Nothobranchius furzeri: one gene and its partner. The protein of the gene in region 2 purifies or fractionates together with the protein of the main gene of each other region. This does not show direct contact. Links are inferred from orthologs where the notes say so. Each region holds a gene or a part of one and is shown on either strand. Other genes may lie near its edges.

What was found.
Region 1: the proteins of med24 (region 2) and cdk19 purify together in Homo sapiens (affinity purification with mass spectrometry; 6 studies listed by BioGRID and IntAct, counting the BioPlex papers as one, with this or other methods). This does not show direct contact. The link is inferred for Nothobranchius furzeri from reciprocal best matches to the Homo sapiens genes MED24 and CDK19.

What each region holds. Positions count from the first base shown.
Region 1 is NC_091742.1:28,596,417-28,600,710, forward strand, and holds the start of cdk19 (cyclin-dependent kinase 19), read right to left. Parts: upstream 2,916-4,294; 5' UTR 2,809-2,915; coding exon 2,806-2,808; intron 2,732-2,805; coding exon 2,586-2,731; intron 1-2,585. Other genes in the region: amd1 (S-adenosylmethionine decarboxylase proenzyme), read left to right, coding at 3,668-3,780.
Region 2 is NC_091756.1:31,518,837-31,522,663, forward strand, and holds part of med24 (mediator of RNA polymerase II transcription subunit 24), read right to left. Parts: coding exon 3,685-3,827; intron 3,613-3,684; coding exon 3,519-3,612; intron 3,429-3,518; coding exon 3,329-3,428; intron 2,965-3,328; coding exon 2,881-2,964; intron 1-2,880. UniProt on the Homo sapiens protein: Component of the Mediator complex, a coactivator involved in the regulated transcription of nearly all RNA polymerase II-dependent genes.

The DNA of each region.
Region 1 (4,294 bases), on a different chromosome or scaffold from region 2:
TTTCACAGAAGTAGAACTCTATCTGACAGTGACAGGACTCTTAATCTTTATTTTTTGGATTCCTCCCCGGTTCAACCGTCTGTTAAAATGAAATATTTAGGAGTTTGGCTAGAGCCAGAGCTGTCTTTTAAATTTCACATTCACACAACATGTCTTAAGGTCACACGGTGTTTACGTATCCTTTATAACTCAATAAATTGCTTTGAACCTATTGTTCGAAAGTGCATCGTCACTCAGCTTCTGTTACCGATCATTGATTATTCTGATATTTTATACCAAAACTCAACAGTTTCTAGCCTGCGGTCTCTTGATGTCGTCTATAACAGTTTGTGTCGTTTTATTTTGCGGTGTTCATTTAACACTCATCATTGTTATATGTATGATCTTCTTGGTTGGCTTCCTTTAAAAGCTAGACGACAATTTCATTGGTTGATATTTATGTTTAAGTGCATTTATTTTGATTTTCCACTTTATCTAAAAACACTTTTGGTTCCCATTGATTCCTTGTATTCAACCCGCTTAACTACTCTTCCATCATTTGTTGTTCCTCGTTTTAAAAAGGAGGTGGGTAGACTCGCCTTTTGTGTTAAAGCTCCTCAGGACTGGAATAAATTACCCGCTGAATTAAGATCCATCTCAACAATTCGTAAATTTTCCCGCACTGTTTATGCTTATGTAAAGCCAAGCTGTAGTTGCTTTGTTTAATCTTTACTATGATGATTTTGTGCATTCAATGGCTAACATGCTGTATTTCGTTGCCAAACTTTGTATTCAATTGGGATACTACTTCACTTTAGATTTATTTATAATGTAATTTCTTGCCCTTATTTCTCTTTTAGTGCCTCACAGCAGTTTTATTTAATTTAATTTGGTATATAGGTATGTATGTACGTATGTACACTTGTTGGTATCTATGTATCCTTGCTTATGTGTTTATATTTACGTGTGTATATATATACATTTATACATATCGTTGATTTTACTATTATTTACTTTCCCCTTTTTTTTTTTTATTTCTGTTACAACTTTCTAACTCTGCCACCTTATTTGTTATTGGTTGTGTTGTAGGAGGACCTGCTCGAAAACGAGATGTTACATCTCAAGCAGTTTATCCTCCTGAAAAAACATAAGTTAAATAAATAAATAAATAAATAAATAATGTTCTGATTTTACTGAAAAACTTGTTCTGTAACAGTTTCTTTACTATTGTGATCAAACATATTTAATCTCAGTTCTGAGGCTGCTCTGTAAATAGTTTTCAGATAAACAATACACACATAGCAACTTCTGATCAATCCATATCAATTTCAGATTTAAAATAATGTATTGATGTAAACAACACCCACTAATTTCCAAATAATAAATAAGAGGTGCATTCATCTGTGTGTCTCCTTTGATCCGCATTAGTGATGTTTCCAGCACCAGAACAATGAAGCAAAGAAACAAGATTCCTGAGTTTACGTTAGTAATTTTATTTATTAGGTGCATCTGACCTGTTCTAGTTTTCTCTGAAATGAGATCAGACCAGTGCTTCTATGGGTTGTCTCCTCTCTGCACTAGAAACATGTACTTTATTATAATGTTCACTGTAATGCATCTTGATGTTCTCAACAAATAAATTAAATCAAAGATATTGGTCAATAATGCCAAATATGTAAATTTGTGTTTCAGTCATTTTTATACTGGCTTAAAAATACTTCATTAAGTCTACTAAGCAGGGGTGTAGAAGGTGTTTAATAGGGCCAGCCCAGTAATGGTCTTGGACCAAAATAAAGGGGGCAGAAGGAGATGTTTTTCCAGACGAAAAATTAAATGCCACCCCCCCTCCCCCTGCAAAGTGTGTCACTGAGAGTTTAAAACTAAAATTATTCTTGTGCAAATATTGGTGTATTCACCTTTAATACTAGTTATTAAAATGCAGCAGTTGCTGGATTGGTGCAGTTCAGAGTGGAGGGCATCAAATAAAACAATATTAACATAAAGGTGAGACGTGTTATCCCCCCCCCCCCCCACCAGCTGGAAATGATATTTTGCTTTTATGCAGATCGGAGTAGAGCTTTGGCACACGAACATTCACCGGGACTGATAACAGAGCAGGTCCCTCAGCGGCCGGGCCAGCAGACAGGGACACACAGGTCCTGTCCCAGGGACAGAAGCCACAGGGACACAACCTGTCTACGGTCAAACCGGAGGAATCCCGCCGTTTTGTAAGCAGGGACACCGCGGTCCGGTGAACAGACACAGAGCTAACGTCAGAACACAAACATCTCTGGTGAAACGTGTTGGGACAGGAGCGCGGCTAGAGGTGTGTGTGTGTGTGTGTGTGTGTGTGTGTGTGTGTGTGTGTGTGTGTGTGTGTGTGTGTGTGTGTGTGTGTGTGTGTGTGTGTGTGTGTGTGTGTGTGTGTGTGTGTGTGTGTGTGTGTGTGTGTGTGTGTGTGTGTGTGTGTGTTAGATGAAAACAAAAACACAGACACACTCTGGAAGGTTCGGTCTGCCGCCCGTCCAACACCAGCGCGGCCCGTGTGAACCCAAACGCACCGTGAGACCGGCAGGGCGAACGGAACCGGACCTCGGTGGTCTTACCTGTCTTTGCGCTTAGCTTTATAAACGTGTCCGTAGGTGCCTCGACCCACTTTGCAACCTTCATATTCGAACAGATCTTCTACTCTCTCCCGCTCGGCTGCCAGCTTTGTTTTGAAGTCGTAATCCATGTTAACCCATAAAGACGACTTAAATTACAACAAAATAAAATATTAATTATTACACGCATTAATTAAATAATCTGCTCGTTTTATTCCCCCACCATTTCCTTGTTTGGGATTTTGGTCTGCTCCGCTGTGTTCACTGGATCGTTGACGCTTCTAATTGGGGCGCAGTGCTTGCTGGGTAATGGAGTCTTCTGAGCTCTCGTCGCGACTCACTAGCTGTGAAACTAGAATGAGAAAAACTACAACCCGCGTTTCCCGCTCCCTACGGGTCCGCATGAGTGCTCGGCTCGCTAGTGGTCCAGACTTCTGTGTTGGACGCTTTTGTTCCCGAGGTGAGCGGTTCAACAACATAGCCTGTGATCATATCTCCAGGTCATTTTTAGAACATACATTTTGGAAACACACTGCTGCTGTCCCAGACCACGTTGTCTTTTGGGGGATATAAATAACTATTTTTAATTATTTTGTCCAAGCTATGAAAACCAAATAACTCACAATAACAGCATTTAACGATGCAAACACGTGTGTTAACATTATATGAAGTTAATTCGCTTTCTGTCCTGTTTACACGGTCCTACCACGTTTATTTTCTTGTGGCAATAAAATGGCACGTGAGGAAAATCAGTCTCCAGTGCGATTGGAAGGTTCCTCAACAAATCACAATGGACAACCTCTACTCATACAAGCGGATTGGTCAATCCACTGTGACGTAAGTCTTGAGGCTATAAAAGAGCTGTCCGCGGCTCGTTCGGTGCTTACACAGTATGGCCGGCGATATTAGCTAGCGCTCGCTAACTGTATTCTCTGCAAAAGGGAACGCGGTAACTTAAGAAAATTAACATCAGAATTACTTTAATGACTGTACCTCAATAAATTATAGTCAATCGAGAAAGGATTTATTAACATACAAACGTTGCGAACAACGTTTACACCTTTTTGTTGGGCGTCTGTTGTCTCATGATGGAGGAAAACGGTGCACATTTCTTCGAAGGGACCGAGAAGCTGTTGGAGGTGTGGTTCTCTCGGCAGGATGAGACCAAGGGGACCGGGGACCTCCGCACCATCCCAAGGTTTGAGTCCTACTGGGTTGAGTTCATGTCTTTCCGTGCATGCGAGCGTAATTTCGCGGTAACAGCGGCTGAGTCCATCATGGCTTCGCGGTTTAGTGTTAAATAACCAAATAAGCGTTCAGAAATGTTGTTTTCCTGTTGGTTTCCCCTCAGCAGCTTAGCGAACCTGTCTGTGGCCTAGCCGTCACCCACCAATCTGGCTAGCAACGTGAGCGAAAATGGCCTCCTCCCCTTTTAAAGTGTGGCTCTGTTGAGCTGAGTCATTCATTCTGAGGCTGTGGGCTGTGACCAGTACAGCGATCGTGCTGCTGCTGGACCCGTCAGCTACAACCGGGCAGCAGGCTGGCCTGCACACGGCTGCTTCGGGAACAGAAGGTAGAAACCCTCTGTTCTGTCTCGCTGGACGGTCCCGGGTGCGGTTTGTAAGTGTTGTATTAGCTTAGCTGTAGAAGTGGGGTGGGCTTGGAGTGTTTTGTTAGCGGGACCGATGGTGAGGCCCAGTTTCTCGTGATGC
Region 2 (3,827 bases):
GACTTCCAAAATTTCAGACATTTCCAGTGATTTAGTTTGAACAACTGTCCATCCGCAGCTGTTCCTGCCATTAAAAACGCTCCAGGTTGTGCAGCTCTCTCACCCTGTGCGGCCGGTGCACACCGCGGCTCTGATCTCTAATAACCCCAGACCCGCTGATCAGAGCATCGCTCTACCAGAGGAAGAAAGAATAAACCTCCAGCTTATTTATTAATGTCGACAAAAAACGAAGCAACAAATCATTTTACCGTCAGTTATCCTGACTGAAGCAACACTTAACTTCTATGACAAAATGAAAAACATAAAAAATGATTAAATGAATGAGGAAAGTTGGAAATCTTATTTCCGTTTTTACATGTTTTCACTTTATTTCAAACTATAATTTTGTGTTTTCATCCCATTTAGCTTGAATTTTATTTAAATATCTTCATCTTTATTTGTTTCAGGAGCATTTTTGTGTTGCTTTGTTTGAAGAATGAATCAGAACATCATAAAAACTACTAGAAAGATGTATTTTTAAGTATGTTTTGAATGTTTAATGTTCTTCAATCATTTTTAGAAGTATTTGTTGTGCTGAAATTCATCTGGTATGTGAGAATGTAAAACCCCTAATTTTGACATAAACATATAAATAGAGGAAAGAAACATACTGTGATATAGATCTTAGGCCACGTGGCCCATTTCTACCCAAATGAATGATACACCAGCTTTTACCAAGCACCCAGTTATACACTTTTGGGGAATCGTCAACACGTTTGACTAAGGGGGTACTCATGGTGCGAGAAAACGGCTCAGGAGTCCTAGCGTCAAAAAAGGTTGGGAACCACTGGCTTAGGCAACTGGTGTCATGTAGCAGATTTGGTAGTCCAGTGGTTAGAGTACCAGGCGGGCATGTAGTTTTGGGTAAGTTCGCACCCCAGCCTTGGCAGTAACTGTTTTTTAGCTACACTTTTATTGGGAAACTGTTTAAAAGGTAAGGACTAATCTGTTTTTTTACTTTCTTTGGTCATTTAGCCAGAGTGAGTCTATGTGAGGTGAGCAGAGTAAATCAACTAAAATGCTGCTTGAAAATGACCAAATTCAAAGATCTTTAGAGACACAAAATATTTTACAGAAAATAATTAAACTAAAATATGAAAACATGAAATCTGATTCAGGTGGCTAAATAAATTTATTCCGACACCACCGGGATTCGAACCCACGTCAGCACATGGCAAAACTGAGACAGCAGTCAGATGCCTTAACCGCTGGCCTGCCATAGTAAACAGCCTGTATTTGTATAGCTCCATCTTAGGGTTCTACAACCCCCCAAGGTGCTTTACAACACAATCAGTTATTCACCCATTCACATGCCGGTGGGGAGGAGCTATGATGTAGCCACAGCTGTCCTGGGGCACACTGACAGAGGCGAGGCCTGCTGAACACTGACGCAACCGGTCCCTTCAAACACCACCAGCAGGTAAGGTGGGTTAAGTGTCTTGCCCAAGGACACAACAGCGGCATTCTCTGGTGGGAGCCAAGATCAAACCTACAAACTTCAGATTACCCACTCTACCTCCTGAGCTGCCCCCCCCCCCCGGCGGAGGCACAGGAGTAAAGTGCTCGCCCCGTAATCGGAAGGTTGCAGGTTCGAGCCCCACTCAGTCTGTTGGTCATTGTGTCCTTGGGCAAGACACTTAACCCACGCTACCTGCTGGTGGTGGTCGGAGGGACCGGTGGCGCCAGTGCTCGGCAGCCTCGCCTCTGTCAGTGCGCCCCAGGGCAGCTGTGGCTACATCGTAGCTCATCCCCACCAGTGTGTGAATGTGTGTGTGAATGGGTGAATGACTGATTGTGTTGTAAAGTGCCTTGAGGGGTTCCAGGACTCTAGAAAGCGCTATATCAAATACAGGCCATTTTATAACAAACACAGCAACTGACTCACCTATGACACTGTTGTAGTCACGTTTTGTCAGAGCGGGCGTGGGCGGAGTTTCACTGAAATTAAGCATTTTATTTCTGGGTATCAACTCATGCTGAAGAAAATAACTTGTATTTAAGATAAATGACATCTCAATATTGCCAATGGTAATATTTTACCATATAATCTGCCTACCTTTGTTCTCAAAGGTTTAACATAGCATGAAATGGAACCTTTAAATGGCACACACTGACACCTAAATCAACCCAATAACTCAAATCTGACCGAGTGAAGCGTTTGAAAATCTCATGACCTTCCAAAGCTGCTCTGACCACAATCACCTGATGTGTTTGTAGGGGTAAAGGGGTGGGCAGCACCATCAACTGTGGAGCACGTTGGTGGCAGTATCATTATCGGTTAAGCTGACAGTGCAGTCGGCGGACTGCATTCAGCAAAAATAACCACGATGGGTTAGTGTCATGAAAACCAAACAACTTAACCAATGCTGACATAACTTAACTGTTGAATTATCTGAAAACAAAGAGTAAAACAAGTTGCCCTTCAGAACAAGTTTTAGGTCACGGCTCCTTCTTATTAGTCCCATTTGTTTAAACGCAAGAGCGTTTGGTCACTCCCACCTCAGAGTATGCATCTTACTTTGTTTTACCCTCTGATTAAAGCTCCTTGTTTGTTTGTAGATAAATATACATTTAAGCGGCTAAATGATAGGTTGATAAACCACCTGAGCTACATCAAAGGAAAAAGTTTTATCACTTAAACATGAAAATACTCCAAATCTATTTAAGACTCGAGGTGTCTGTGGTGCCATTTAAACCATGTCTTATATTCTGATTTTGTATTGTTGTTCTGTAATTAAGAAGCCTGCACTCCAAAAATCACTGAGCACGGCCGCTGGTCTGACCAGAATAGTTTCTAAATGATTCTTATTTGAGGTTTTGAAAGAACAAAAGCACTTTTACTTTCAGTCTTGACAGCAAAGTGTAAAGGGCCTTGAAGTTTTTCCTGAGTCATGCAACGTCTTGTCTGGGAATTTGTCTCCGAAGCTGCAGCCAAAAACAGGGAAAATAATTAAAAATTCCAGAGCTGGTGATCTGGAAGCTCATTATACTGGTCATGTGATGACGAATTGAGTAACAATACAACACTGCTGTTGCTCAGAGTTTTAATCTGGCAATATTTTAACCCCACATGAGGCTCAAGTTAGAACCTGCAAGCCTGCAAACCTAACGCCACCGTTCACGTCTGGGATCACTGGAAGCCAAGTTTATCCCTTCTGAGTGGGACAAACCGGTTTGGAAGTGGATATTAGAAAAAGCATCTGAATAATCCCCAGCTCAGACCGAGAGACAAATGTCTGAAGCTCCATAATTCAAGCGTGCAACCAAACACAAACTTTATTAGACGGACCTGGACTGGACAGAGCTGCAGGCTCATCCTCATTGGAGCTCAGCAGCCGCATGAGTTTGGACGGCTGAGTATCGTCCAGAGGAAAGAGGCTGTTGTAGTCCTGTGGTTAGAAAGATGCTCATGAAACGCAACCATGACATTACATCACTCATGCATTTCAACATGCCATTCCTGGCCTTTGCAGTTTTACCTCTATGTCTTCTCTCTGCCTTTTTCTCTGCCGTGCTGAGAGGGGGCCTTTGTGGTGAGAGGAGAAAGAGCTGAGCGCACACCACACAGACAACCTGAAGGGGGAAGAAAGTTAATGCAAAGCAGCTGAAATGCAGATTTAACCAGCAGAAAGGAGCTGCTCTTACTTGGCCAAAGCCTTCCCAGGAGGGTCTGAAAGGCTGTGCCAGTGGGCGGAGTCAGTGAGCAGGTTGGGTAAAATGGTACCGAGCAGCGTCAGGGTGATCTGATGGGTGTCCAAACAGAAGATGCTGTAGAGCAACTCCACCAC